Linked DNA regions of Danio rerio. The protein of the gene in region 5 binds, or shares a complex with, the protein of the main gene of each other region. Links are inferred from orthologs where the notes say so. Each region holds a gene or a part of one and is shown on either strand. Other genes may lie near its edges.

What was found.
Region 1: drc5 (region 5) and drc9 share a complex: the UniProt entries of both Homo sapiens proteins name them as parts of the nexin-dynein regulatory complex. The link is inferred for Danio rerio from reciprocal best matches to the Homo sapiens genes DRC5 and DRC9.
Region 2: drc5 (region 5) and ccdc135 share a complex: the UniProt entries of both Homo sapiens proteins name them as parts of the nexin-dynein regulatory complex. The link is inferred for Danio rerio from reciprocal best matches to the Homo sapiens genes DRC5 and DRC7.
Region 3: drc5 (region 5) and fbxl13 share a complex: the UniProt entries of both Homo sapiens proteins name them as parts of the nexin-dynein regulatory complex. The link is inferred for Danio rerio from reciprocal best matches to the Homo sapiens genes DRC5 and FBXL13.
Region 4: drc5 (region 5) and drc3 share a complex: the UniProt entries of both Homo sapiens proteins name them as parts of the nexin-dynein regulatory complex. The link is inferred for Danio rerio from reciprocal best matches to the Homo sapiens genes DRC5 and DRC3.
Region 6: drc5 (region 5) and drc8 share a complex: the UniProt entries of both Homo sapiens proteins name them as parts of the nexin-dynein regulatory complex. The link is inferred for Danio rerio from reciprocal best matches to the Homo sapiens genes DRC5 and DRC8.

What each region holds. Positions count from the first base shown.
Region 1 is NC_133193.1:29,337,187-29,342,370, reverse strand, and holds the start of drc9 (dynein regulatory complex protein 9), read left to right. Parts: upstream 1-1,782; 5' UTR 1,783-1,922; coding exon 1,923-2,021; intron 2,022-5,184. UniProt on the Homo sapiens protein: Component of the nexin-dynein regulatory complex (N-DRC), a key regulator of ciliary/flagellar motility which maintains the alignment and integrity of the distal axoneme and regulates microtubule sliding in motile axonemes.
Region 2 is NC_133200.1:14,672,274-14,677,198, reverse strand, and holds the end of ccdc135 (dynein regulatory complex subunit 7), read right to left. Parts: intron 4,435-4,925; coding exon 4,324-4,434; intron 4,249-4,323; coding exon 4,138-4,248; intron 4,055-4,137; coding exon 3,860-4,054; intron 2,008-3,859; coding exon 1,868-2,007; intron 1,503-1,867; coding exon 1,421-1,502; 3' UTR 1,120-1,420; downstream 1-1,119. UniProt on the Homo sapiens protein: Component of the nexin-dynein regulatory complex (N-DRC) a key regulator of ciliary/flagellar motility which maintains the alignment and integrity of the distal axoneme and regulates microtubule sliding in motile axonemes.
Region 3 is NC_133200.1:19,760,381-19,765,587, forward strand, and holds the start of fbxl13 (F-box and leucine-rich repeat protein 13), read right to left. Parts: upstream 3,669-5,207; 5' UTR 3,616-3,668; coding exon 3,541-3,615; intron 3,346-3,540; coding exon 3,242-3,345; intron 3,126-3,241; coding exon 3,038-3,125; intron 2,961-3,037; coding exon 2,893-2,960; intron 2,821-2,892; coding exon 2,666-2,820; intron 613-2,665; coding exon 503-612; intron 424-502; coding exon 325-423; intron 243-324; coding exon 147-242; intron 1-146. UniProt on the Homo sapiens protein: Substrate-recognition component of the SCF (SKP1-CUL1-F-box protein)-type E3 ubiquitin ligase complex.
Region 4 is NC_133178.1:67,120,536-67,124,448, forward strand, and holds part of drc3 (dynein regulatory complex subunit 3), read left to right. Parts: intron 1-139; coding exon 140-252; intron 253-575; coding exon 576-750; intron 751-1,496; coding exon 1,497-1,628; intron 1,629-3,076; coding exon 3,077-3,147; intron 3,148-3,230; coding exon 3,231-3,354; intron 3,355-3,747; coding exon 3,748-3,879; intron 3,880-3,913. UniProt on the Homo sapiens protein: Component of the nexin-dynein regulatory complex (N-DRC) a key regulator of ciliary/flagellar motility which maintains the alignment and integrity of the distal axoneme and regulates microtubule sliding in motile axonemes.
Region 5 is NC_133195.1:54,629,171-54,634,435, reverse strand, and holds the start of drc5 (dynein regulatory complex subunit 5), read left to right. Parts: upstream 1-1,609; 5' UTR 1,610-1,884; coding exon 1,885-1,919; exon of another isoform or gene 1,920-2,081; coding exon of another isoform or gene 2,082-2,086; intron 2,087-2,147; coding exon 2,148-2,317; intron 2,318-4,065; coding exon 4,066-4,634; exon of another isoform or gene 4,635-5,265. UniProt on the Homo sapiens protein: Component of the nexin-dynein regulatory complex (N-DRC) a key regulator of ciliary/flagellar motility which maintains the alignment and integrity of the distal axoneme and regulates microtubule sliding in motile axonemes.
Region 6 is NC_133192.1:12,696,431-12,701,721, forward strand, and holds the start of drc8 (dynein regulatory complex protein 8), read left to right. Parts: upstream 1-1,712; 5' UTR 1,713-1,728; coding exon 1,729-1,750; intron 1,751-2,060; coding exon 2,061-2,145; intron 2,146-2,275; coding exon 2,276-2,348; intron 2,349-2,437; coding exon 2,438-2,517; intron 2,518-4,503; coding exon 4,504-4,546; intron 4,547-4,690; coding exon 4,691-4,757; intron 4,758-5,291. UniProt on the Homo sapiens protein: Component of the nexin-dynein regulatory complex (N-DRC), a key regulator of ciliary/flagellar motility which maintains the alignment and integrity of the distal axoneme and regulates microtubule sliding in motile axonemes.

The DNA.
Region 1 (5,184 bases), on a different chromosome or scaffold from region 5:
TTTTCAACATCCAGCTGTGCAAGAAAACACAATCTGACATAAGAGAAGTCATCCTTTACTACTGGATTGTTTTTAAATAGAGAAAACATTTTACTTGTAACTTTTATTCTGAATCTTGTAACAAATATTCTTGAAATAAAAATAGCCAAAGCACTAAAATACTAATTTGGCTATCCATTAATTTTTAATCACATGTACTTTTTACAAGAGAGGCAAGACAAATCATGAAACCCTTTTATTATTATTATATTTTATCTTTTTATTTTTCAAACAGCCAAATTCTGACTGAGGAAAGTTGAATGTGCTGGCCAATTTGTTACATAAGTGACAATAGACAACAGTTTTTGTTTAAAACTTTAACAGATTTTTAAAAAATTATAATGAAATATGATGTAATAAATTTGAATATTAAAAATAAATATTTATTCATATTTCTTTATTCTAAATCTTTAGCAAATATTTTGGTAGCCTACTTTAAAAATTGTAGTTATAATGACCAGCCGACAAGCTAATCCAGCTAAAACGCAGCCTTACACTATCCCTGCTATAAAAAAAAAAACAAAAAAAAACCTAGCATACTGGTAAGGTATGTATTGTTGCTGGTATGCAGGTCTTGCTGATTTTAATGCTGGTCTTGCTGGTTTCAATGCTGGTTTTTACTGGTCTCGATGCTGGTATTGCTGGTTTTAATGCTGGTTTTGCTGGTCTCGATGCTGCTCTTGGTGTTTTTAATGCTGGTTTTTGCTGGTCTCGATCCTGGTCTTGCTGGGTTTAATGCTGGTATTGCTTGTTTCAATGCTAGTTTTGCTGGTCTCGATGCTGGTCTTGCCAGTCTCGATGCTGGTTTTGCTGGTCTCGATGCTGGTCTTGCTGGTTTCAATGCTGGTTTTGCTGGTCTCGCTGGTTTTCATGCTGGTCTTGCTGGTTTTAATGCTGGTCTCGATGCTGGTTTTGCTGGTTTCAATACTGATTTTGCTGGTCTCAATGTTGGTTTCAGCAAGACCAGCATCGAGATCAGCAAAACAAGCATCCATACCAGCAAAACCAGCATTGAAACCTGCAATACTAAATATGTCTTTATAAGCATATGTTACAACTAAAACTCTGTCTGTCACAACTTGCCCCACAGGTGGGGTAAATAGTATTTTTTACTCCTGGCACTTTTGGCAATGCACATACGTCCGGCGATCATACAACCAGTGCTCATTTGTAGGAGAGGCTTGTGTGTTGTTGGTTAAAAATATGGTTTGTCTAACCATATATTTTATATTTGGCCAAAACCAAAAAGTGTTACACGTCCCCCGCTCTCCCCATACCACATGTTTTTGGACTTATGGGGGAACCCGGAGCACCCAAAAAACACACTTACGAAAACACAGGGAGAACATGCAAACTCCACATAGAAACGCCAACTGACCCAGCCGAAGCTCGAACAAACAAACTTCTCGCTGTGAGGCGAACTACCCACTGTGCCACCGTGCAGCCCAAAACTGAGTATTGTAGACAAATCTACTGATTATAAATCTTAAAAGGGTTACCTATAAAAATACCTAGAAGTCCTGAACATTACCAATGAACAGCATGTTTAAGATAAAGAAAAACAAAATAAGTCAAAATGTCAAAATAAGTCAGTTTTGTCAATAAACCACCTTCTAGCAGACAAAAAATGCATGGAAAACTGGTCAAAACATGATGTTCATGAACGTAAATTAATTCAGTCTGTTGTAAGAACAGCCAGCAAACGGAGCGGATCTGTGTGTACAAGACGTGCTGTCATGACGACGGACGCTGTTGCTACAGCTGCACGTGTAGCGTCTTCTTCACGGCTGATTTGCCTCTTTGTTTAGAAGGATTAAAAGAAAGAAACCTTTTAATTTTATTTATATATTTATCTAAATTTCTATATAGCCCAAATCAGCAGTATGACGTCCGTGGAGGAGCTCAGAGCGTGTGCTTTGCTGCAGGATTGCGCTGATCAGCTGTCAGTGTTAGGAAATATTATACGCCCCGGAGCGGAGACTGTGAGTAACAACATCAAATTTAGGACATTTAGTAATCTGCTTCCTGCTACATTTGCTCGGTTATGCCCGATATGCTTGTTAAATTATGTTTTATATTTAGTGTCATGGCCAATAATTATTGGTGAATTAAACAAAGTTAGGATTTGTTGGTTGATAGGCTATTATATGATGTTGTTGCGTTAAACATTATTTTAAACAGTTTCAAGTCATGAAATTATTTTTAGTAGGGTAGAGCGGGGCACAAAGTAACACTTTTTGGTTTTGGTCAAATAATTGGTCAAATTCACAGCTGTCACATCCATAACGACACTTTTTTCTCATAATGCAAAAATGTCAAATAAAATAAAATCAATTCAATAGTTAGCCGACTCATATCCGTTTGATTATCATTGTTTCTTTTGGGTTGTGCAGTTTAATTAACAGAATTTCTACAAAGTCTTATGAAGACTAAACTCCCAAACATACTAAACTCTCATATATATATATATATATATATATATATATATATATATATATATATATATATATATATAGCACATTATGAGGAGGTAGCACTGGTGATCATTTAACCAGTGCTCATTTCTAGGTGAGGCGTGTGTGTTAAAAAAAAATCAAAAAAATTATATGTATATATATATAGTGCTGTAAAAAGCTAATGCGTGTACATGTAATTTGTGCATGTGTTTAAATGTGACATTCTGTAGTGCATAGTTATTGTCCAGTATGCCCACAACGTCATAAAAAAATTATATTATGTTTGATTTAGGTTGTGATGTCAGGTGACCAAAATTCTATGTCTTGCCAGTGTCTAAGGACGTTATTTTGATATCCAATAATGACGTCAAATGACGTTGATATTTTATCGATTGTAGCTTGTTAGAAAGAGACCAAAATCCACAGCTGAGCCAACATCTTAAACCAAAGTCATATTAACGTCAAATACTGACATTTATTCATCAGGTATGGCAACCAAAATCCAACGTCTGTGTCACCGACTCGGTCCCAGTCATTCCCCTCGCTGACCAGCAGAGGTCACCATCTCCGGACTTCTAACCATTACGTCATCCATTCACCCTGATCCCAGCACACCTGTTCTCCATTCCACTAATGACCCACGTACCACATATAAGCAGCTCACACACACACTTCAGTGCGAAGTCTTGTTTAGCCCCGGCCAGCATTTCTGAGCGTTCTATCCTGCCTGATCTCCCGTTTACCACTTCAGCCCGTTTCACGACTCTGCTCTGTCTTCTGCCTGCCCTCGACCAAAGCCTGTTTCCTCGGACTCTGATTCTCGCTGCCTGCCCTCGACCAAAGCCTGTTACATGGACTCTGAATCACGCTGCCTGCCTCTGACCCAAGCCTGGTAATCACTCTGCGTCTGTTATCTGCTAAACCTCCTTTGATGTGTATGTTGTATGTCCGCACAGCCGTGCGAGTTGTTGATGTTTAAGTGTGACTTAATAAATACTGCAAAATGGATCCCTCCATGTCAGTCTCCCCGTTACAGAAGACTTCGCCCAACACGGATCCCGCAGCCATCCAGGTTTTGTCTCACGAAGTCACAGCACAAGCTCAGGTATTGTCTACTTACCAACAACAACTAACACATCTAACTCAGTTAACAGACGAACTGGTGAAATCCCTACAAAACCTGCAAGCTGCTGCCACTGCGCAACCCACCGCCAACTACTCTCCAAGTCCACTTGTTGTTGCACAACCCCCGATGACTTCCGGAGTTCGATTGGCATTCCCTGACAAGTTCTCAGGTAACCCAGCAAAATGTAAAGGCTTCCTACTGCAATGTAAACTGTTTATCGCCCAACAGCCCCATCTGTTTAAGGACGAGAATGGGAAAATTGCTTTTGTGTGCTCACTGCTCACTGTAAAAGCGCTAGACTGGGCTACTGCAGTTTGGCCAGACAGTACCCCGATATTTCCCTCGTTTAATGACTTTCTCAAACGTTTCTGCACTGTGTTTGATCATCCGGAGGGTGGTCGCAACGCTGGCGAGGAGCTACTGTGCATCCAACAGGGAGATCGCTCCGCAGCTGAGTTCGCACTGCAGTTCCGCACCTTGGCAGCGCAAACTGGCTGGGCTGATGATCCGCTTACCACGCTCTACAGAACGGCTTTAAAACCAGAATTGCAGAAAGAGATGGCATGTCGTGACGAGGGAAAAACACTGGATCAACTAATCAAACTTTCTATAAGGTTAGACACTCTCCTCCGCACTCGCAATCCACTGTGCTCAATTGCTTCCAGTCCTGTATCCCCTGAGACCTCCGCTGAACCCATGCAATTGGGTAGAACCCGCCTGAACCCAGAGGAGCGAGAACGACGGAGAAGAAATCACCTGTGCATTTATTGCGGACTTCCAGGTCATACGAAGGTTTTATGTCCCCACAAGCCTCTCCCTAAAACCGTCTCGGTGAGTGCAACCACTATGTTCACTACCACTAATAATGTTATGAATTTGCCTGTCATTCTGAGAAACAATGGAGATGAAATTGAGACTATGGCCATGATCGATTCAGGAGCCGCTGGCAACTTTATTGATTACACGTTTGCCACCACTCACTCCATTCCCTTAACCTCCTGTGATTCCTCCATCGCCATCACTGCTGTAGACGGGCGCCCTTTGGGAGAGGGACACATAAAATTCCAGACTCAACCAATCTCTCTTCAAACAGGCTCTCTCCATGAAGAAGAGATTTCCCTTCTTGCCATCGAGTCCCCCAAGCACTCTGTAATTCTTGGGTTACCATGGCTACAACAACATGACCCTCAAGTCTCCTGGAGAACTGGTGAGATCACAAAATGGAGCAATCAATGCTTTACCCAATGTCTGCATTCTGTTTCCCCTGTCCAGATCAACACAATTACCAACACAGAAGACCCTGAACTCTGTCATGTTCCTGATGCTTATCATGATTTAACTGAGGCATTTAACAAACAGAAGGCTACCAAGCTCCCTCCACATCGTGAAAATGACTGTGCCATCGAACTACTACCAGGCACCACGCCCCCTCGTGGCCGCATCTTCCCCCTCTCTCAACCTGAAACTGAAGCTATGAAGAATTACATCTCTGAGGAGCTAGAAAAGGGCTTTATCCGACCATCTACCTCACCCGCTTCAGCAGGCTTTTTCTTCGTCAAGAAG
Region 2 (4,925 bases), on a different chromosome or scaffold from region 5:
AATCTATGATAAAGTAAAATAGGGTTGTAAATATTCTCTCTCTGTCGTCTTGCAGCCTGAAGATGAGCGTCCACCCCTCAGCTCCCTGAGACCGTCAGTCGCCTCCTCCACAGACATGCTTCACAGCAAACTATCCCAGCTGAAGGAGTCCCGCGAGCACTTCCAGCAGGAGCAGTCGCATTCGCATAGCCCCACGCGCTCCTCCTCACCCGCCTCCAACCTGGACGACCTCAAGAAGAGGCTGGAGAGGATCAAGAGCAACCGCCAGTAGGTCCACTCCATCCAAAAAAAAAAACACATCCCACTGTTTCTTCAGGGTAAGCGCATACATAGGTTACGGTTATGCGAAATAGGATGTGTGAAATAAAAACTAATAAATAACTCAGTCCGTCTACATTGTATAATACTAAGTCAGCATTTCCTGTATGTTAGTATTGTGCACAGTTGTTTTTTGTACATACGGTGGCTAACACCACGCTTTTACGTGTCATTTAGGGTTTTCCGTGTACAGTTTTTCTTGTGCAGAATGCTGTAATAAGTGTAACTGAAGCTCGTTTGTTTTTTTTTAATAGACATTTTAGAGAAATCTAAATTAATGTCACTCTCACTCAACTCTCAACTTCTCTCTGTTCAACATGGTTCGCCAGATTTGCTGTTTTCTTTCTGCCTTTACTCTCTAACTCTCTCATAACTTTTTGTGAAGGATCGATTCCTTTCTTTTAAGGAGCATGGCATGAAGTACTGGATCTTTCTTTTTCTGTAAATAAAGTTTGCATTATTAAAGGCTGTTAATTTTTAGTTTTTCTTTTGAATAATATTTCCAGCATTCTGAAGTGGAATGTTGGTCATCGACGCGTTTTGTTTTTGTATCATCGGACTGGGATTAGTGTTGAAGTGTTGCGATTAGGTTTTACGTGTATAATCTATAGTGAACATGGCAATAAAGACTTTTTTAATATAATTTAACAAACTATACACTGATGTTTTGAATGTGTACTTTCTAGGGAGCTCTGCGGTGCAAAAATGACCAAGTCTAGTGTACGATTGCATATGTTTTCTATTGTTCTCATACAGAGTTGTCAAAATCTGCCAAATCCATAATTACATATGTCAATCTGATCAATTATGCAATGAAAACATTTATTTGGGTCATATGTTAGAGCAAGGTGTGTCCAAACTTGGTCCTGGGGGGCCGATGTCCTGGAGAGTTTAGTTCCAACCCTAACCAAACACACCTGAACCAGCTAATCAAGCTCTTACTATATATGCTAGAAACTTTCTGGCAGATGTGTTTAAGCCAGTTGGAGCTAAACTCAGCAGGACCCCGGCCCTCCAGGACTGAGTTTGGACACCCCTGTGTTAGAGTAATAGATGTTACATAATGCTGTCTCCAGATTTCAATGCAAGTACTCATCTTGAATCAAGAGTCCGTAGCCAACTTTGGATGTCTTTTTAGTGTCTCTTCCAGTGCCAGATATCTCTGAGGCGCTCTCTCTTTCTGTCTAGAAAAAGACACATTTACTGATCAGTTCTAAAGCAAAAATGTACAAGCTTATTTAAATTTAAAGCAAAACTGTACATTATCATCAGTTAGCATTAACCTTTTGACAAAGTTAATCTAAAAAATATCTTGTCATAAGAGGTGCCCAAACCCAATCGTGGAGGTCTGGTGTACTTCATATTTATTTCCAACCCCAGTTAAACACACCTAATCTTGCTAATTACGCTCTTTCTGGGTATACTAGAAACTCCCAGGCAGAGGTGTTGAAGGAAATTAGAGGCAAACTATGCAGGACACTATCCAGGCCTTCCAGGACAGAGTTTGGGCACCCATCATAAATGCATTGATCAGTAATTCAACGCTTACCGACTAAGTCTCAGTTTGAGAACATGGATCCTGAACATGGCTTCAGAGCAGTATTTGAAGTAGTCTTCCTCGTCTTCTGTGCTCATAGTGAGCTGGTTCTTCTGGTACCACAGCTGTTTCTTCTGTAGCTCTTCTGTCTCCTGAACAAGAAAAAGTTGAGGTTATTCTGCCCCTTTTGCCAGCAAGAAGTAAACTTATCAAGTACTATTGGGCCGAATCATCATAATCAACATTTTGATGTCTTGTTGGCACCCTGCTGTGACAGATCCTTCAAGACGCCTTCGAAGTCCATACTTTTTTGTTGGTTGTCTACGTGCTCTTGCAAAATATTTGGAACGAGATTCCACAAGACCTTTAGGTTGCAGGTAGACGGAATGTAATTTAAACTTGATGGTCCAGCACATCCCACAGATGCACAACTGGATTGGGATGTGGGGAATTTGGAGGCCCAGACTACCTTTGAATTTACCATGTTTTTCAAACCATTTCTAACCTATCCATGCAATGTGAGACTGTTGTCTGATTTCAGAAAGATGATCTACCCTGTGTTCACTGGAGGAAGTGTCTGAAAACAGACATTCTCAACCTTGTCCCCCAACAATGCACTTATTTATTTGTCTTAATCAAATGAACTTAAACCAAGTCAACTCTGTTTACCCTGATCTACCAAGACCATGTTAGATGATCAATGAGATCTAGCCAATATTTGGCTTAGAGTATATTCCATTAAAGGGACACCACATGTAAAAATCTAAGTCAGTAAAATTGTGTTTTGCCTTCTATTTTTAAACTTTATAGTTTTTTTTTATACCATTTATGTACTTTGTAAGCCAGAGGTGGCCATATTTGGCGGCTTGTACCATGAAGCTGAATTAGCTGCCTAGCTAGTTAAATTTTCAGTGTAGTTTGCACCAATCTTTGGTTTTATTGTAACAAATAGACGGCTGAACTTTAATCACTCTTCGTCATGGTATTATGGAGCAGCTGAGCCAACCTCATGGTATGTTAAACCCAGAATTTGTGCAAACAGGCCCCTGATACTAGAGGGCCCTTATGAGGACCCACCTCCCTGCAAACTTTGAATAAGGTCTATTAAATTAGACAGACATGCAGATTATCAACTCGTTAACTCCATGAACTGAACAATGTGCACCAAAAACTCATGCAAGGTGGTGCGTTCCCAGAAATAGGAAAATTTTTTTCTTTAATTTCTAATCAAACATCTCATCTAATTTTAATCCGCCTATCTGGGACGGGGGTAGCAGTCTTAAGGCCCGTTCACACCGATACGTTTTTTGCTTGCGTTTTCTGTCGACGTTTAACGCCTCGTGACTAAATAAAGGGCGTCAATGTGATCGTGCACACCAACGCGCGAAACGTCAGGCGCAAAAGCGTAATTTAAAAAAATAAATAAATGCCTCATGCCTGTTTTTTTTTTTTTTTTGATGCGCTGCGTCAAAACCCTCTTCACCAATCAGGTTGGCTTTTTTGTTCACGTGCACGGAGCTGCTGAAGTTACTGTAAACAGCACTTGGAGGCGCTCAAGCGCAAAACTGTCAATACGAGCGCACGTTGAAGAAGATGCCCCGAGGCGATATGAACAAGCTGGAGCTGCTGCTTGAACCATCCATGCTTGTTCAAGTCACCAGTAACTTTAACAACAAGCTCGTGAACTTCCTCTCTTCCTCTTCTGTGTTATAAACGGGTGTTGGAAGCTAATAGTTGTGTAGCGCCATCTAATGACAAGGAGTGGTTTTGCATACTCTTCTGCTTGACGCCAGGTGTGTTTGGCAAGGGCAGGGGTGACCACATTTGATACTAGAGGGGTAGTGTCCTGCAGTGTTTCGGTCCAACCTTAATCAAACACTGGACAAGCTAATTAAGGTCTTACTAGGAATACGTGAGATTTCCAGACAGGAGCTGAAATCTGCAGGACAGAGGACCTTCAGAACCTATAGAAAGTGGTAAATTGTCTGGGTCAAATGAACATGCCTTTTCGAATCTGCCCTGGATGAGGTTAGCTTTGTTGGCGAGTTGTTGTTTAAATTCTGTCAAACAGTCTCTCTTCAGCTGAAGTGCGTCCTTGAGAGTGAGGGATTCTGTTTGTTCTAGTCGGGCCTGGAAAGGAGCCAAGAGGTCGAGCTCTTTCTCTTTCTGCCGCTTCTGCTTTTCCTTAGCCTTACGTTCCTGAGGAATGACAAGAACCAGGGGTAAGTGATATTATGGGTTAGTTTGACAAAAGCAACTGGCTGATCAAAGCCCTGATTCACCTTTTCCTCCATGTGCCGACGAGCAGTCTCGTTTCTTGTAGTGTTGTAGATGGAGATCAGCAGATCAGTATTACTGTCCTCCTTTTCTCTTGAAGAAAGGATGGACTTGACCTTTAAAAGAAGAAAAAAGATTTAAGTCCTCATAAGAGTCGAGACAAATGTTTTGCCATGCTCGAACTGTAATACCTCTTTTTCTGAATTTCTGATTTGAAGTTCAACATTCTCCTCATCTCTCATCAGTTCCAAAAGAATTTTGTAAAGCTGCAAGTCGTTGTAGGGTTTTGCAAAAGGATCAACCTGAAGATGCAAAATGAACAATCTATTAAACCATTTATAAACTGGGGATTCTCAACGCTGGCCCTTATCACCTTTAACTTCCAAATAATCTTGAAGGCCTTAATAAGGTGTTATTGATAAAGGTTGTAGCTCTGTAGGAAAGGGTCTCCAGGAAAAGGCTTAAAGACCACTCACTCGATTTCAAGGTATTGATGGTACCAATTGAGTTTAGTTTAAATCACACAGTTGACCTGAATATTGTTGGTGAATAAAGGGCCCAAATTGCAAAAAGAAAATATTTACCACCTCTATACACACCATTACCAGTTTGAACTGAATATACAGTTTCTGAAGTGTTGGATTTCAATGCACTAATGTAAGTAGACACACACACAAGATCTATTTGAGTTGCTGCCATGTGACTGATTGAACATATTTCTGTTAAACAGTCTAAAGGGTCTGCATCTATTAATGTCAGGGGAGCATAAATAAAATAAAAAAAATATCTTGAT
Region 3 (5,207 bases), on a different chromosome or scaffold from region 5:
ATCATTGTGTTTAAAAAAGGGCAAATCTGTTGATTTTCTTATATACTTTTACTATATTCTTAAAGATTTTATGTATACAAATATTAAACATGCACTTCTAAATTCTAAAGGGAAAATTTGACAGTTTTTAGGTCAGCTGCACTAACCTCAGTCCACAGTGAGCTGATTTGAGTGATTGCTTTCCATGATTGACAAACCTGAGCACATTTCAGCAGGTCTCGCACACCTAGACTTTGGAAGATCTGCACCAAACGGTTCATTTCAATCACAGCTGATTGTACGTTTTTGCCAGTTATTTAACAGTTAGTGGTAGTCAAATGATACCTTGAGAAACAGCCTGTTGGGCAGCAGTGACAGATTGTCCTGTCCATCACCCTGTGGTATGCCTGAGTTCTGGCTTTCCTTCATATCTCTTTCTAGTTTCTGAACAGACATGTATAATAGCTGAATATCTCATGAATTCAATGCATTTGGGTTTAGCTGATTGTTTTAATAATTATACCTTAAAGTATTCCTTTGTTCTTTTAGCGTCCTGCACAACATGACGCCAAGCCGTGATGATTTTTCTGCAGTGTACAGACTCTTGAACCTTCTGTAGTTTCCTCTCTGCATCTAGATAAATTAAAGAATGCCTTGTTTCATGATATATAGAGAGAACAGAAATAATAACACACTAAATTTATATGGTAACATGCAAACTAGTAAAAAAAAAGCATATGGGCAGAATTTAAACAAACAAATTACATTTAGTAATGTTCAACTTAATTTGTTTGCTTAAAATGAGCCCATATAAATTGTTTAAACCAGTTACCTTAAAACAATTCAGTAAATCCAATGATTAAATTTTTTTTTCAGTGTAGTTACTAACTTTATTGTAACATATATTACAAATAACTCCACTTATACAATGGTTACTAAAGACATTGTGCTGATTTTATTTCAAGATATGTGTCCGTCTTTTGACACTAGATTTTGCATTTCATCCCAAGTCTCTGTTGCTACTTTATTTGCAAAATGTTATTTTAGAGCTTATGAAGTGAAGTACTGTGAGATTTAAATGTATTTAAATGTACCAAAAAGAAAACAAAATTCTGCCATTATTGCCATTATTTATTCATCCTCTACAAAGGAAGATAAGCTGAAAGAGCTGTCCTTGACTTCCGGAATATTTTAGTTTGCTAATTTTACCTTTTGTTGAATCCATTTATTCATATAAATTCAGCATTTTTATTTATTTATTTTATTTTTTAATCAGAAAATCAATCAGAGAGTTGCATTGAGAAACCCATGACAAAAAAAATTGAAAAATGCTATAATTCTTTAACTTATTAAAGTTGTTAAGAACACAGTGTTGTACCTTGAGGCCTTTTTATGGATGTATGCTTTCTGAGTCTGAGTGAAATCAAAATTTACAATGTTTGTTTTGCATATCGCACATTGTAATTCTTTGGGTAAACAATTAATCCACTGAAAAAAAAGTTTGTTTGAGTAATCTTGTTGAGCTTTGAGTGCGTAGATTAATCATTAGACAGAATGAATCGTTTTTAGCAGTGCCTTTTTATTTCTGACCTTCACGTGCTCTCTCTGTACAGTATGAACATGAGATGGTAAAACTTCCTTATAAAAAAAACAACAACAGTATAACATGGAAACGTAAAGCATGTAAAAAAAAAACATGACGTCATCATTAAAGTACAGTAATACACTGAATCAAAATGTCAAACCCTTCAGTGATTATATCATTACAACAAGTAGAGTGCTAGTACTTTAACAAATCTTCAGTCCAAATCTGACCATTTGCATTGATTTTTGGAGGGGGGGGTCTTTCTCTGTTGATGTCAGAATGATGGCTTCAGCCACAACATTCTTAACCATGCCCCTCTACCATTAGTTTGCTATGAGGGAATAAAAAGCACTGCCCTCTACTCAGTACCTGCTTTTAGATTAAATTGGAAGTACTGTACATCAACACACTGAAAAAAAAGTCTAAGAAACCTCCAGTTTATTCTGATCTTTTAGGTTTATAAAGACTTTTTTGAAACTTACCTCAACATCTCAGTCTCACTGATTCACAATTTATAGCCAATTATGATCAAGCATTCAAAGGCACATTAAGTAATTTTCTCCGCTCTAGAGGGCGTCCATTCACAACAAACAAAGGCTTAGTTTGCGGATGTCGTGATCGTGTGTGTAATCATCAAGTTTTCAAAAATGAAGGGTTTATGATGTCAAATATTATTATTATTATTATTTGAACATTAAACAAAACTTTTGGCATAATGTAAGTACATAAGTACAAAATATATAATAGTGTTCTGACAATCCAACATGTGCTTTTAGCGGGCCTGTAATAAACAGTACCTGCTGACAGTAATGGGTTACATTTTATCTGGATTACTTAATCTTTCTCCAAAAATGACTTGCAATTATTATTATTTATTATAATTTAAAATGTTCATAACCGGAATTATTATTTTTTTTACAGATTACATAATTATTGTACAATTTCATAGGTGAGTTTTCCCGTTTTCAATTCACAATATTCAAGGAATCAGAATCAAGCATCCAGGGGCACATGTATAACTAAATTTGACTGGGATTTCTGAAATATTTAAAGTATCTCCAATATCATCTGTTTGTATTATAGACCATGAAAGCTAAATACCTTTCCATCGCTGTTTCTGAAACTGAACCCATGCTGTCCACTTTATGAAAGCCAGTTTTATCCTTCTCTGTGTGTGATACATCTCAGCCTCCTCCATTCTTTCAAGGAGCCGGGCAGCCTTCATCTTTTTCTGCCAGATGTAACTCTTCCAACCCCTTTAATATGAAAAGACAAGATATTAAAAGAGCTGACTTTTAAATAATTTATTCTGTACTTTAAAGACTTACGTGAAACACATTTTGGTCAGATTGGTGTGGTAACAAGTGTAAGCTTTCTCCAGCAAATGTGACAGATTCTATGAGGGAGGAAAATGAAATGAGTTTATGCTTATAAACATTCACTCTGAATAAAAACATACAAAGAGAGTTTTACCAGGCTGTCTTCTGGATATCCAAAAATATAATTCACAATGCCTCCTGCCAATGAGGAGATTTGTTTGTCTTTGTCAATAAATGTGTGCCTGAAATATATAAAAAAAAACATGTTTAGGAATATTAACCTGAACTTGATTTTGCAATAAAAAGGCACAATTTATTTATAGTTTAATGAAACAAATATATAAAGAAGCCAACATACCAGACAATCTCAAAATCTTGATCCTGTAGGATTGATAGTATTTTTTCCTCCATAAAGTGTAAAGGATCTTCAGGACATGAGACACATAAGCCAGAAAGTAAAGCCTAGATAAAATGGAATAATATATATACAACAATAACTACAACAACAAGAACCACTTCAAATCAAAATACAGTTAAATTTTTAAAATATTTTTTAAATACATTGAAATATGAAATAAAATATTTTTTCAAATGTAAAATCAATAAAGTTACAACTTAAAATAAACTAAAATTATTTTAAAAACAAACCTAAATCACCTTGTAAATCTGAGGTAGTGAATGTTTAATAATGTAGTCTCTAAAAATCGCATCTGAATCTTGCAAAAATGCCATTATAAAAGCGGTGAGAGAGTCACTGTGAATGGTAGATGATTTCCTGCTGTCAGTGTAACAATAACCTGAGACACTTTTGTCAACATTTACCTTTCATGTTACTTGGTTACCTGAACAATTGGTTGGTCACATGAAATAACCCCAAAAGTAAACTACAATAAACACAGAACAATAAATGTATATACTTTTATTAAAGAAAGTTTTCTTAAGCAATTGTATAACACACTTTTATAATATTTTTTTTATAACAGTTTATAGATAAATAGATAGACAGACAGACAGACAGACAGATAGACAGATAGATAGATAGATAGATAGATAGATAGATAGATAGATAGATAGATAGATAGATAGATAGATAGATAGATAGATAGATAGATAGATAGATAGATAGATAGATAGATAGATAGATAGATAGATAGATAGATAGACAGACAGATAGGATGATTATAGTATAATTTTACCTTAAAATGGCTTTTAAAAAAATTCTAAGCTGATATTATTCTTGCCAACATAAAACAAAGACTTCCTCTAGAAGAAAAAAATATTATCAGACATACTGTGAAAATTTCCTTGCTCTGTTCAACATCATTTGAGAAATATTTAAAAAAGAAAAATTTAGCTAATTGCTAATTCAACTAACATAAACTAAAATAAAGACAAGCTATATAGGCATAAAAAACAGATAAATAAAAAATGTACAAATTAAAATTATTAATACTTCAACTACAACTTAAAAGTAAAAATGGAAAATATAAAATTAAAAGTACAATAGGATAACAATGACAAAAATAAAGCTAGTGCTTAAAAGGTCCGTGTAGGTCCGTGTACGTTTTGTTCATTTGTTTTTCATTTTCAAACGGAATAAAGGAAATGGAGAAAACGGACGTTTTTCCGTTTTTCTTTTGCTCACGAGAAAACGAAAAAACGAGATTTTGGCTGGGTTTTTCGTTTTTTTGGTTTAGGGTAGGAAAACGGATAAACGACTTTAAAATTCTTTTTACACATGTAGGCGGTGCTGAAACGCCCACTTTCCTCTAATTGGTTAACCAAATCTGCGCTCGTGACGTCACTCTCAAAATAAAAGCCTTACACGCAGGCTTTTAATTATTATTATTTAATTATATATATAAACAAAGTTTACATATTCTATCATTTGAACCACACACAGTTAGCAGGCTTACATTCATTGCGTATGTATAAATTAAATAAAAACGTAAATCAGCAGTATTCTTAGACATTTGTCATTAAAATAAGGTCATAGTTCACTGCCAAGCTTCTTGCTGCTGTGCACCTGATGCTGAGCAAAGATAGCCATTTCCGAGCAGCACCTAGTTTACATGATTGTTTCAGAGCTATTGTAGGCCTAAATAATAGCCTACTCTGTATAAAATAATAATTTATTATTATTATTATTATTATTATTATTATTATTATTAGGCCTATTATTATTAGTATTGTTATTATTATTATTTACTTAGTTATTCAATGGTTGTAAGAACACATTGGACCCTGCATGGGGCTATAATAAATGGTACCATTTGTTTCTATTGGATTTTCTCCTATTTTAATTTAATATATGCCTTTAGCCT
Region 4 (3,913 bases), on a different chromosome or scaffold from region 5:
CACCCCCTCTTTATGTTTCAGTCGAGATTTTGTCAAACATAGAATAAAAAATGCACATTACAAAGCACTTCACTGGAGCTTTAATCCACAGAAAAGGTTCCTTCCCACTGGTGAGTAAACACTGTTTATATTTTTCCAGGACGCATTCGTGGAGAACCTGAACGGCGCTCAGCTCTTCCACAGCATGTTTGCAGATGATCCTGATGCTGAGAAACTGGCTCTGCTGCCGGGAGTAGACGCGCTGCTGGAGGAATATCCTTATCCCATATATAAACAAACAAAACACACACACACACACACATAACTGCTTAAAAGCAAAGGAAGAGTTATTACAACCTAAAAGACTCCTCTCGCTCACCATTTCTGTTTGATGTCAAAACTGACAGCTGGAGGGGGCGTGGTTAAGAATGTTAGCCCCTCCCAATATCTCAAACAGACCTAATCTGAGAATTTTACAAACAGGAAGTGAATTTGCATATTTAAATTTAAGATTACAAGGGCAAACAGGATTTGAGTTCATGCGTACATTAAGAACACCAAGCAATCGCCTCTCCTTGACAGTCACGTGGCTCTACGTTTAGGAGCAGAATGGAGGCTGTGTGTATGCAGATGTTTGAGGCAGGGTTGTCTCAGTATTCTCGGAGGTCTGCGGAGGTGGAGTCTTTCTTCAGCTGTTCTCGAGAAGCCGTCGCTGAAAACAAGCAGAAAGCGGCACAGATCGCAGCCGACTTCGAGAGCTTCAGGAGACTGGTCAGTTTAGAAATGAGGCTTTTTTATTCATTCATTCATTCATTCATTCATTCATTCATTCATTCATTCATTTATTTATTTATTTATTTATTTATTTATTTATTTATTATTATTTTTTATTTATCATTTATCTATTTATTTGTTTATTTATCATTTATTTATTTATTTGTTTGTTTGTTTGTTTATTTATCATTTATTTATCATTTATTTATTTATTTATCATTTATTTATTTTTCTTATTTCTTTATTTATCATTTATTTATTTATCATTTATTTATTTATCATTTATCTATTTATTTATTTATTTGTTTATTTATTTATTTATTTATTTATTTATTTATCATTTATTTATTTATCATTTATCTATTTATTTATTTATTTATTTTGTTTATTTATTTATTTATCATTTATCTATTTAACATTTATTTATTTATTTATCATTTATTTATTTATGTATCATTTATTTATTATTTCTTTATCATTTATTTATCATTTATCTATTTAACATTTATTTATTTATGTATCATTTATTTATTATTTGTTTGTCATTTATTTATCATTTATATATTTATCATTTATTTATTTATGTATCATTTATTTATTATTTGTTTGTCATTTATTTATCATTTATTTATTTATTTATTTATTGAGTTTTGTTTTCAGAAATGGCGGGTCAAAATGAAGTGAGTTTTCCCTTTTAAAATGCAGAATAACCTGTAGATGTTGCCTGATGCTGTGTGTTGCAGAAGACAGCAGAGATGCATCAGATCCAGGATGCTGTTCAGCTGGAAACACACCTGAGCGTCTGCCGTCAGCAGCTCACACACACCTCTGAACAGCTCATGAGTCTGGAGCTGCAGCTGGTGGACCAACTGGAGGTCAGACGAGAAACACACACACACACATTCAGTCATATGAATCAAACATTACCTACAGGTGCTGATACAGTCAACTCAGCTGCACTGAATAAAGGGTGGAACTGTCTGCAATTTAGGGTGGGGCTATCAGTGATTTAGGGGAGGGATATCAGTAATTTAGGAGAGGGATATTTGTAATTTAGGGGGCGGGGCTATCTGTAGTTTAGGGTGGAGCTATCAGTGACTTAGGGGAGGGATATAAGTAATTTAGGGCGGCACTATCTGTGATTTAGAGTAGAGCTATCAGTGATTTAGGGGAGGGATACTAGTAATTTAGGGCGGGGCTATCTGTGGTTTAGAGCTGGGAGATCAATAGTTTAGGGTGGAGCTATCAGTGATTTAGGGGAGGAATATAAGTTATTTGGGGCGGGGCTCTCTGTAATTTAGGGTGGAGCTATCAGTGAATTAGGGGAGGGATATTAGTAATTTAGAGTGGGGCTATCTGTGATTTAGGGCGGAGCTTTTAATAATTTAGAGTGAAGCTATCAGTGATTTAGGGGAGGGATATTAGTAAATTAGGGCGGGGCTATCAGTGACTTAGGGAAGGGACATTAGTAATTTAGGGCGGGGCTATCTGTAATTTAGGGTGGAGCTATTAGTGATTTAGGGAAGGGATATTAGTAATTTAGGGCGGGGCTATCAGTAATTTAGGGCGGAGCTATCAGTGATTTAAGGGAAGGATTTTAGTAATTTAGGGCAGGGCTATCAGTAATTTAGGGCGGAGCTATCAGTGATTTAAGGGAAGGATTTTAGTAATTTAGGGCGGGGCTATCAGTAATTTAGGGCGGAGCTATCAGTGATTTAAGGGAAGGATTTTAGTAATTTAGGGCAGGGCTATCAGTAATTTTGGGGAGTGATAATAGTAATTTAGGGCGGGGCTATCAGTAATTTAGGGGAGTGATAATAGTAATTTAGGGCGGGGCTATCAGTAATTTAGGGCAGAGCTATCAGTGATTTAAGGGAAGGATTTTAGTAATTTAGGGCAGGGCTATCAGTAATTTTGGGGAGTGATAATAGTAATTTAGGGCGGGGCTATCAGTAATTTAGGCTTGAGCTATTAGTTATTTAGGACGGGTGTATCAGTGCTTTAGGGCGGAGCTATCAGTGCTTTAGGGCGGAGCTAACAGTGCTTTAGGGCGGAGGTAACAGTGCTTTAGGTAAGGATATCAGTGCTTTAGGTGGAGGATCTTTTGTGGCAGTAGGTTGTTAATTGTGTTTAAAACGGTTTGCTTATTTAGTGTGAAAAGGTCTTAAACTAGAGCTCCTAGACATGAGAATTCATTTAAGAACTTTTGTGGTACAAAATCTTTATTTCAAAGGATGTAGATATGGATTATTAATGCAAAATTCTACATAGACCATATCATATCACTGACAACTAACAGAAGTTTCCAAATCTGTGTTTAAAGGACGTCTACAAAGAGTTTGAGAGGAATATCTCCGAGATGTTGGGAGGCTTCGTTGAGTTTGTGCAGGGGATATATCCTTCATCAGCCACGTCTATATGAATATAAAAGCATATTTCTCCTGTATAAGAGCGTCTTCTTTAACCGTCCACCTCACGTTTGCGCAGTGCAGAGATCTGGAGAACCAGCACCATGAACAGCAGCTGGAGATCGGCCTGGAAACACTGGAGAAAGTCCTCAAGAATGAGCTTGAAGAGGAGATCCCGGATGATCTGGCCATGGTGAGGGGGAACAGGCTCAATTATGCAGATTTGTGTTGATCTCTTATGAATATTGATGAGATGCTAATTAACTCAGGGTTGGTTCGAGTGCTGGAAATCCATGAAAATAGTGTGTTTACTAGGCTTAAATGTTGGATAAAGTGCCTGAATATATAACTGTATTACTGAATGTATATGAGAGTTATTAATTTACTGTATATTTTATTACATGTGTGTGTTTTATACATAGTTTTAATAACTAATAACAGTGTGTGTGTGTGTGTGTCTGTGTATTGTTAATTATTTTATGTTTTGTGTGTGTGTGTGTGTGTGTGTGTGTGTGTGTGTGTGTGTGTGTGTGTGTGTGTGTGTGTGTGTGTGTGTGTGTGTTGATGATTATGTTCTGTGCTGAAGCTGTTAGTAGATAAAGACACATTGATCAACGCAGCGAACGCTTCACACGACACACACCTGATGAAGATCGATAACAGAGAAGACGTGCTGCGCACGCACACAGACAGCTGGATTAAACATCTGAAAACAGAGGTCAGTCAAACACACTCTACTTAAACATTAACAC
Region 5 (5,265 bases):
AAGTGTTGAAGAGTCTGAAATCTCCAACATTCAGCAGCTTTCAGATTTCTGCAAGCTGATGCTAGCAAAAGCAGCGTTCGCAGGTTAGCGCTGATCATGCAGTTGTTCGTCTAGACAGTATTTAAAGGCATAGTTCACCCAAAAATGAAAAGTCTGTCATCATTTACTCGTGCACCAAAACCAGTTTCTGTTAAGCACAAAAGAAGATATTTTGAAGAATGTTGGGCGCCGGTAACCATTGACTTCTATAGCAGGTAAAACTAATACAACCTTTACCTTATTAATTAGTAATAAACAGCGAATTAGTAGTTTATTAAGCTAGCAGTGTTAGTTAATGGTTTATTAATACCTTGAATTGTGACCTAAGCTAAAGTATTGCCCTAAACACTATATAAAATCTTTTCAATTTAGAAATAACTGTAATAAATTTTGCATTTAAAGGGATAGTTCACCCAAAAAAGGAAATTCTGTCATCATTTACGTGTTTCAAACATTTATTATGTTGAGCACAAATGAAGATATTTTGAAGAATGTTGGATATACCGGCAACCATTGACTTCCATAGTATTTGTTTTCAATGGAAGTCAGTGGATACAGGTTTTCAGCTTTCTGCAAAATATCTTCTATGGTAGAAAAAGATGGATAGAACAGTATAAGAAACCCATAAAGATTAATTAATCTTAAGGGAGAGTACATATGAGTAAGTTTTTTTTTTGGGGTGAACTGTCCCTTTATTAAGAAAGTAATAATGTGTAAAAAAAAAAAAAAAAGCTAAAGGTGAATATGATGGGAATTTCATATACTCTAGTATAGTGTTTCCCAACGGCACACCCAACAGTACAGTTTTTAACCTCTCTCTGATCAAACACACCTGAATCAACTCATCAGAACAAAAGAAGAGACTCCAAAACCTGAAGTTAATGGATCAGATAAAGGAGACATTCAAAATTGTTGGTGTGCCTTTAGGAACAGGGTTGGGAAACACTGCTCTAATAGTCTGAAATTGGATTTGTGAGAAAATATTCAATATTTCTCTTATATTTCACCCCATAATAAAAAGAAATCACCCTGTTCTCATGAATGTAATGTCAAAAAATGACACATAAATTTATGATAGCTTGTAGTTTTCAGGTGAATTGCTTGCTAATGGTTTCTACACTAATGTTTGCACACTTTTAAAAGATTGTTACTTGTAAACATTGTGTTAATTTAAATAAATATTTAACCTTTAAAATGTCGAAGTGTTGCATAATTTACAATATTTTATACCCCTCAGTCAAACCTCATAATCACCAAAAACATTATAGACTATTATAGAAGGGGAAGAGAAACTTTATTTATTTATTTATTTATTTGAGGAGTACGAGGCTGACATTAAAATCCAAGGACTCTAATAAACTGATTTATATTTAAGAAATAATAATAAAGTAGCCTTGTGCCAAAACTACTAATTAATAAACAGTTTATGCTTAAAACAATATGCAAGTGTATAGTTCATAACTTAAAAGTCTAAAAAATAAATTGGAAGTCATGTTAAATGAAAAAAAGCGAGGGCAAGGCTGAAATCCTTACCCTTAACAACATAATTACAAATTTAATAATTAAAGACACACTTGAATAAACTATTTTATAAGGATATGCAATGTCATCTGTAACGTGAATGATGTTTTATACTAATATTTACAATGGATAGAATTAATAATGCGAGAGAAACCTACATGACTGATATATGTTGTACAGCTTAAGGCTTTAGATCTTTGTCCTGTTTTACTGTTTTTATTGATTGTGAAAATTATGTTTGTTATTATTTTAGTGACTGATTATTAGCATTTAGCATTTCAGCGGCTGGTGACATGACAAAGCGCGCGAGCAGGTCTTGTTACCATGGCAGCATCAAACTTTCCCGAGGAACAGAAAGTGTGAGTCGACATTTAGAAGTCACTTAATTAATTAACGTTCAACGTTTTCTTTAACTAAGATTCGTCTTTTATTTTGCGTTCATATACTAAAAAGCTACATTTATTCGAGGACAAAGGTAAAAATGACGTCGTGAAAGAAAGTCGTCCATACAGGCAGCAGTGATGAGGTAACGTCATCTGTATTATTTCATGCGTATTTATCCAAGATATTTGTTTTATATCTGTCAGTTTTAGCAGTATGTCTCGGAGTCAGTCTTCTCAGAGATCCGGGGTCATGAACTCCGCTTCTGACGGCCAAAAAAGGCGCAGTATCATCGCGGAGGATCATGAGTGGTCGCTGGCGCTGGTTCCTCTGCTAACAACACTCTGTTTACAGCATATTATAAAACACTTCGAAGGTAAAAAACCCACACAAGTCTGTCAGTTAGTTTACACTCTCATAATCACCGTAAGGATTACAAATAAGCCTTACATGCACTCAGAATTGTCAGAGTAGCATGTATTTAAGTTACTAAATGAGCATTTAGGTAACGTTAATGCTTGTTATTATTATTTTTTTATATTATTATAAAGTAGTGCTTTCAAACAGCTTGTTAATGGAGACAAGGTTTTAGTAAATATTTTTGTAAATATTAATAATTTCTTTAATATCTTTGCCACAATAAAGTGCAAATTAATGTTGTTAACTTTAATTTACAGTTAAAGTTTACAAATATATATATATATATATATATATATATATATATATATATATATATATATATATATATATATATATATATGTATAATATCTGTTTGTGTGTGTGTGTGTGTGTATATGAGCAATTCCATGCAAATGACAAAAAAATTTTCGCCAAAATATCGAAACTTTTGTGTAAGCAAGTATTTTACATTGGTTTAAAAATACTCAAAAATGTCTCTGTCAATGTTTTCAAACTATTATATTTGATTTGCCAAATCACACATTACATACTTTGTAAAAATTCTGTAAATTAAACTGCACAAGCCAAAAGAAACAATGCTAATCAAAAGTATAAGAGTCGGCTCACTACAAAACAAACATGATTGATTTTATTCGATTTTACGTTATGGATTTGACATCTGTCTGTTATGGATGTGACAGATGTGAAATTGCCACTTGTGCGATTTTGGTAAATCAAATACAATTGTTTGAAAATACTGACAGAGTATTGAGTATTTTTAAAGCACTGTAAAATACTTGCTTACCCAAAAAAAAAAAAAAAATTATATATATATATATATATATATATATATATATATATATATATATATATATACATATATATATATATATATACATATATATATATATATATATATATATATATACATATATATATATACATATATATATATATATATATATATATATATATATATATATATATATATATATATATATATACATATATACATATATATATATATATATATATATATATATATATATATATATATATATATATATATATATATATATACATATATTAATCCAGAAGAACAAACAAAAAGCGATGAGGGGTAATTCAAATATTTGGTCGGTGCTCTTTGGATAAGGGATTCATCAAAACAACAACAAGAATTAGTCCAAGGCACTCGAGAAATATATATATATACATACAGTCAAGCTTAAAATTATTCATACCCCTGGCAAATTCTAACTTAAATTTACTTGATTTCAACAATGAAGTTGTTTTATTGACCATAAATGACACAGGCTTCTCCTAAAAGATAATGAGAAAAAGTACAAGAGGCATTATTGTGGAAGAAAATATTTCTCAGATTTATTTACATTTGAAAAAACCTTAAAGCTGTGGTCACACTGCACTTTTCACCCGATATACTTACAAAACGTGACTTCTCTGCACAGAAATTAAATATATGGAGCAATCACTTAATCAATACTTTATTAGTGTCTAATCGTCTTGTTTAATCCCGCCCCTTTTCACATCACCGTACAACAGAACTTCGTCAGCTCAAACTCTAGTGTGACCAAGGCCTAAATGAGAGTTTGCCTGGGGTATGAGTAATTTTTTTAAATCAAAGAAACTCATAAGCTCATAAATAATAAATAGTAATAAAATTGGCATTTTCGTGTGAACTATCCCTTTAATATTTTTTGCAGAGAAGCCCATTCTGCATGAGCTCCAACCCAGCTTTAAAACATACGTCCTCCAACGACTGCCAGCATCTCTTCCGTTGACCATCACTGCAAACCTTATTAGCGATGAGAGCTACTGGAAACGCTGCTGTGAAGCTCGCTGGGGACTCGCTGACATCTCCACGTATGATAACAGCTGGAAACAAATGTTCTTCGAGCGTCACCTTCAGAGCATCATTGAACTCTTTATACCAGACACAACTGACACCAAAACAGTGCTAGATGTGCTGCCTTTGTGTCAAAACTATGTCAAGCAGCTGCGGGTTTCTCAGCTGCTGCCGCCCATTAAAGAGCCGTCCCGGTTTGACGAGGACGACGGGTCAGAGTCTGCCAGTGATATGGGCAGTGATGGACCCTCCATGGACCACTTTGATTTCCGAATGCTGCTGGACAAGCTGCCGAATCTGAAAGAGCTGAGCGTGGTTTATTGCGTGAAAGGATGTGGCATGAACTTTGAGTGGAATCTGTTCGAGTTCACCTTCAGAGACTGCGAATCCCTGGCTAAAGCACTCAATTCCTGCAAGACTTTACAGGTTTTTAGAATCATGTTATTGGCAATAGGGTATACATTTACATTTAGTCATTTAGCAGACGCTTTTATCCAAAGCGACTTACAAATGGGGACAAGGAAGCAATTAACACAACTATAAGAGCAACAATTAATAAGTGCTATAGGCAGGTTTCAGGTCTGTAAAGTCTAAGAAGGAAGGCAATAGTTAATTTTTTTTTGTTTTGTTTTTTTTTTAGTATAGTTAGTGGTATATCCAGAGAGACAATTGCAGATTAGGAAGTGAAGTGGAGACTAAATAGTTGAGTTTTTAGTCGTTTCTTGAAAACAGCGAGTGACTGTGCCGTTCTGATGCAGTTAGGGAGTTCATTCCACCAACTGGGCAGATTAAATGCGAGAGTTCGGGAAAGTGATTTCTTCCCTCTTTGGGATGGAACCACGAGGCGACGTTCATTCACTGAACGCAAGTTTCTGGAGGGCACATACATCTGCAGAAGTGAGAGCAGATAAGAAGGAGCAAAGCCAGAAGTCGCTTTGTAAGCAAATATCAGAGCTTTGAATTTGATGCGAGCAGCAACTGGCAGCCAGTGCAAACGGATGAGCAGCGGAGTGACATGTGCTCTTTTAGGTTCATTAAAGACCACTCGTGCTGCTGC
Region 6 (5,291 bases), on a different chromosome or scaffold from region 5:
TCACAAAGTCTGCTTCGTGAAGCTTCACCCGGGCCCGTCTGTGCTGTAGTTCCTTGCGGTTTGCGTACATAAACGCAATATCGCGAAGAACATTACGTGTTTGTTGCTCGAAATGTGCCGCCGAGCAACATCCAGTGAATACTGGCACGGCCTGGCGCCCGGTCTTCTCGTGCACTCCCTGGGGCGAGGCGGCCTTTGAGCCCTAGGCAGGGAGCAAACAACCACCGAGGACCCTCAGGGAAACACGGGGGGCCGGTAGTGGGACCTCGCTGCGAGGGTTATGGTGGGTGGGAGTAGCGAGGCCCACTCATCTTCTATTTTAAACCATAGTTTCAAACTTTAGTTTACTATATAGTTTGAAATAGAAACCATGGTAACTGTTATGATTTAACTTTATGCAAAGAGCTTACAATGACCAAGAGCAACAGACCCGGATTCCGCCATTTTGAAGTGATAGCGATCGCTCGTCATTGCTGTCGCGATGGAAAGCAGCTGCTTTGTTTTTATTTAATTTATTCAAAAAGCGCGTTATTGTTTCCCAAATTGTAGATTGTCGCCTCATGGTAATTCTATGCTCTTCTGTGTCTGACTGTTGTGATGTTTTGCTTTGTTTTTCAGCTGAGATTTTGAGCAAAGAAGGACTATTGAAGACAACAGTTGAAGACAACCGCGGGTTATAATCACGAGCGCGCGCATTATAATGTTTTCGGGCTGTTTTCTGAAAGTGTGTCTTTGTTTAGATAAGTTTGCATGTCAAACTAAATAAACTATACTCTTTCTAAACACCTGTCTCGTTTTATTTGTCCTCTACAGCAATGCACTGTCATATAGGTCTGTTGAATGCATTTGTATGCAACATGGTTTGACAATACAGTAGTCTAACAAATAAATAGTTGTTATAAATGTACCTTCATTAGTCAACATTTGATGTTATGTTATGATTGTTATACTATATTTATTATTATTAATATGCTGTATGTTTAAAACCAGCAAATTATACTATATATTTAACATGTCATAAACTTACTGTTATTTTAACATTTGCCAAATAAAATGTCCTAAGACAAGAATGGGTGTTGTTTTGGTTTTGTGTCAACCTACTGTAGGTTTTAGGTTGACTACAGCAAGGCTACATACATCATAGGGAGTTTTTTTATAACGGAATAAATATTTCACGGAGATGATTTTACTGCGTGAGAAAACTGATGTGTGGCGTGAGAGCGTGAGAATACGGTCAATTGCGTGACTTTCACGCATTTTGGCAACTCTGAAATATTAGTGTTTGGACTATGTGATTATTTATTACTATAGCAGGTACTATTTAGCCTATATATTCTCCTGGATTGTATAAGTGCTTCTGATTTTTATTTAACACTGACATATTTATACACATAGGTAATTTAGACATGTACTCTTTATTGGTGCTTTCAAACGAATAATCGCGTTCATGCTTGTACAAAGGATGTATAAAAATGTTCCTTACATTCTTCCTTTTCTTCTGTTTTTTTAGTCAGTACTGAACTTTCCCCTTTTGTGAGCAAAAACTTTTGCTAGTCTATAAAAGATGTTCGGCATTTCTTATTTTGGTCGATTTAAACAATCATAAACAGCATAAACAGAAACATTTTTTTAAACTTCTGAAAGCGGTTCCTACGTAGAAGAACCACTTCCTGCCCTCCGTCTGAATGGCGAGTGTGTTCAGGTTACCTAGCAACCAGGGTTTTAGACATGGCGGACAAGTATAATGCAGGTAAAGATGCTACACGTAAAATGCTACGCTTTTTTTACGTTTGTGGGCTTACTGTATGCTTATTAATGGTGTTTGTATTCTCAGCATGACGTGTTTTTAAATACAGTTGCCATTACTACGACTGTTACCAGATCAATGATGTTTGAAAAGTTTTCAGTAACGTTGTTTGTTAACGTCGAGTAGTTAAAGTAACAGTAAAAGACCACACAGACAGCGAACATCTACAGCTGAATTGCTTTGTAAACACACACACACAAAATAAAATAAAAATGCGGAAAAACACAACGTTAATTAATGTATTTTTTATCAGAAAATATTATAATAGAAACTCAAAAGAGGATTGGGAATGCCTTTGATGTATTTGACCATGAATCCAACAAGACTGTTGATGTCAGGTAACGTTTCACTACGCTGTTTTTCAAAATATATTAGACCATTTGTTGATGTCTGTTAGCTTTGTTCTGCACATGTTCTACAAACAAGGAAGACTTCTTTAATGTTATCTGTCATTTTTCACCGTAAAAGGGAAATAGGCACCATCATTCGTTCACTTGGCTGTTTTCCTTCAGAAGCTGAATTGCATGATATCATCTCTGAGGTCAGTGGTTTTGTTTTGCCGGGTCATAAAATGCATCGCTCTTGTAAGTTGAGTAGATCAATAGTTATGAAGTGTCATTTCATTCACAGCTAGAAGAAGAAGAACCCACTGGATTTGTGCGCTATGAGAAGTTTCTTCCAACTATGACTAAGATCCTGCTGGAGCGCAAGTAAGACTGTAATGAAATAAAACAGTATGAAACCCAGATTATTCTTAATGTTTTTAAAAGGTCACAGACTGATAAATCACACAAATGCATCTATATATTTATATACAGTCTAACTCAAAATTATTAGCTGTCCTGTAAATAATTTTTTCTTACTCAGTTATTTTTAAATTGATATTCAACAGAGCAAGGATTTTTTTTTTCTTCTAGCAAAAGTCTTATTTGTTTTATTTTGGCTAAAATAATGGTCTTTAATAAAAAAAAAACATTTTAAGGTCAATATTATTAGCCCCCTTTAGCAATATTTATTTTCGATTATCTAGAAAACAAACCATTATTATACAATGACTTGCCTAAATACCCTAACCTGCCTAATTACCTTAATTAATGTAGTTAAGCCTTTAAATGTCACGTTAAGTTGAATACTAGTATGTTGAAAATCATCATCATGGCAAAGATAAAATAAATCAGTTTGATGTGTCAAATGAGTTATTATAACTATTATGTTTAGAAATGTGTTGAAAAAATTCTTTTCGTTACAGAAATTGGGGAAAACATTTACAACGGGGCTAATAGTTCAGGAGGGCTAATTATTCTGATTTCAACTGTACATGGATATATAGTGCTAGAAGATGAAGCCAAAATGTCCAAGGTATCAACTTGCACGGATCGTATAATTCCCACAGTTCCTACACACCCAATTGCAAGCACATAATGGCATGCATCCAAATAAAAGCAAACTTATTAAAAAATGTTCCGTATATACATCAACAATTGATGTAACGAGAAAACAAGGCGACACAGTGGCGCAGTGGGTAGCACTGTCAGCAAGAAGGTCATTGTTTAAAGCTCTGGCTGGGTCAGTTGGCATTTTTGTGTGGAGTTTGCATGTTTTCCCTGTATTGGCGTGGGTTTCCTCCTAGTGCTCCGGTTTCCCGCACAGTCCGAAGACATGTGGTATAGGTGAATTGAATGAACTAAATTGGCCGTAGTGTATGTGTGTGAATGAGTGTGTGTGGATGTTTCTCAGCACTGGGTTGCAGCTGGAAGGGCATCCGCTGCATTAAACACATCCTGGATAAGTTGGCGGTTCATTCTGCTGTGGCGATAAAAAATAAAGGGACTTAGCCGAAAAGAATGAATAAATAAGAAAACATTAATTAAACGCTTACCTTCTCTTCGATAACATTGAGGGAGCAGGGCTTTTTAAAATGTTCTGCAATCAATGACCAGAGAGCAATGGAAATATTTGGATTTCCCTTTTTCTATATTTGGCCTGTGTGAGCCAAAATCTCACTAATAAAATGTGTTGTCGTGTCTAAAGCAGACAAATGTTTTGCCTCTACATGTAGATGTGCTGGGGGTGGATTTAAACAATATGCAAGTTAATCGGCCGCTCAGGGCCCCAGTTAATCTGAGGGCTCCCAAATAAATACCTAGAATTATAAATTATACATATAAATATTATATATAACATTGCTTTCTATCATATTTTCCCCTACCTTCAATCATGGACCAGTTCAGCTGTCAAATCAGTAAAGATTTAGTTTTAAAAAACGAAATTGTTTATTTATAGTGAATTTATCTTAAGAAAACAAATGATTTAAAAAGTTTTATAAGGTGCTTTACATGTTATTATTATTTTGCATTAAGATAAAATGTAGAAAAGGAGATTGATTGATATAAGAAATAACAGCAAAATAATAATAAAAAAATTAAAGTACAAAAGGTGCCTTTTAGAACTTTTGGGTCTAATGGCTGGAACAGCTTAGGGCCCCAAAATCACTAAATCCATCCCTGAGACGTACAGTATATGACTATAAGTGTTTTAACATAATTTGCAGTACCTGTAAAAACTTAAAACTAAAATAAAATAAACATTTGATTAAATAAATATTTACTTTGCTAAAGTTTTTCCCACAATAAAATTTAATACAAAGCCTAGTATTAGTGATAATTGTAGCTCTGCTTCTTTCTTTTTTCTTGCAGGTTTCGTCCTATTACAGAAGACCTGCTCATACAGGCTTTTGAGGTGAGGCTGTTTTGTTTTTTAATTTTTAATGTGTGAATTTACCTTGTTAACATGTGAAACTTTTAGCAGTGTCAAAGACACTATGCAAGACACCTAAGACCAGTGCATTGATTTAATGGACTGTACTTTAATCTAATCTTAAAGGTTTTAGATCAACAGAAAAAAGGACACCTGGAACCAGCAGAACTGGCCAAATACTTAACACAAGAAGGTGAGACTATAACAAAGTGTTGTCCTGGATTTTAAGATTCTTCCAATATTTTGTAATTGCACATGTGCAGTGCTCTTTGTCTTTGCTGGATTACTATAATTCTTTATATTTGAGTATAAGCGGGTCTTCTTTGGCTCCCCTGAAGTTGGTGCAGCACATCTTTTGACAGGGAGTCGCAAATTTGTTCACATCACTCTCATTTTATCTTCCCTTCTCTTGCTGCCTGTACAATACAGAATTCATTTTAAAACTCCTTTGTTTGTTTTTTAAATCTATAAATGAGTCTGCCCCTCCTTTTATATCAGACCTGCTTCACCCTTAATTACCCTCTCGCTCTCTCAGATCAGCAGATCAGCTGCTTCTTAGAGTGCCAAATGCTAACCGTAAGCTCAGTGCAGACTAAACATTTGCTGTGGCTGGACCCAGCCCTGCAGGCACAGAACGTCAACATGACGTCCTATTGAAGTTGTACCCCAATGTACCCCAACGTTGTGGGGACGTTGGATTTTGTTTGGAAATTAAAATCGGGTTGAC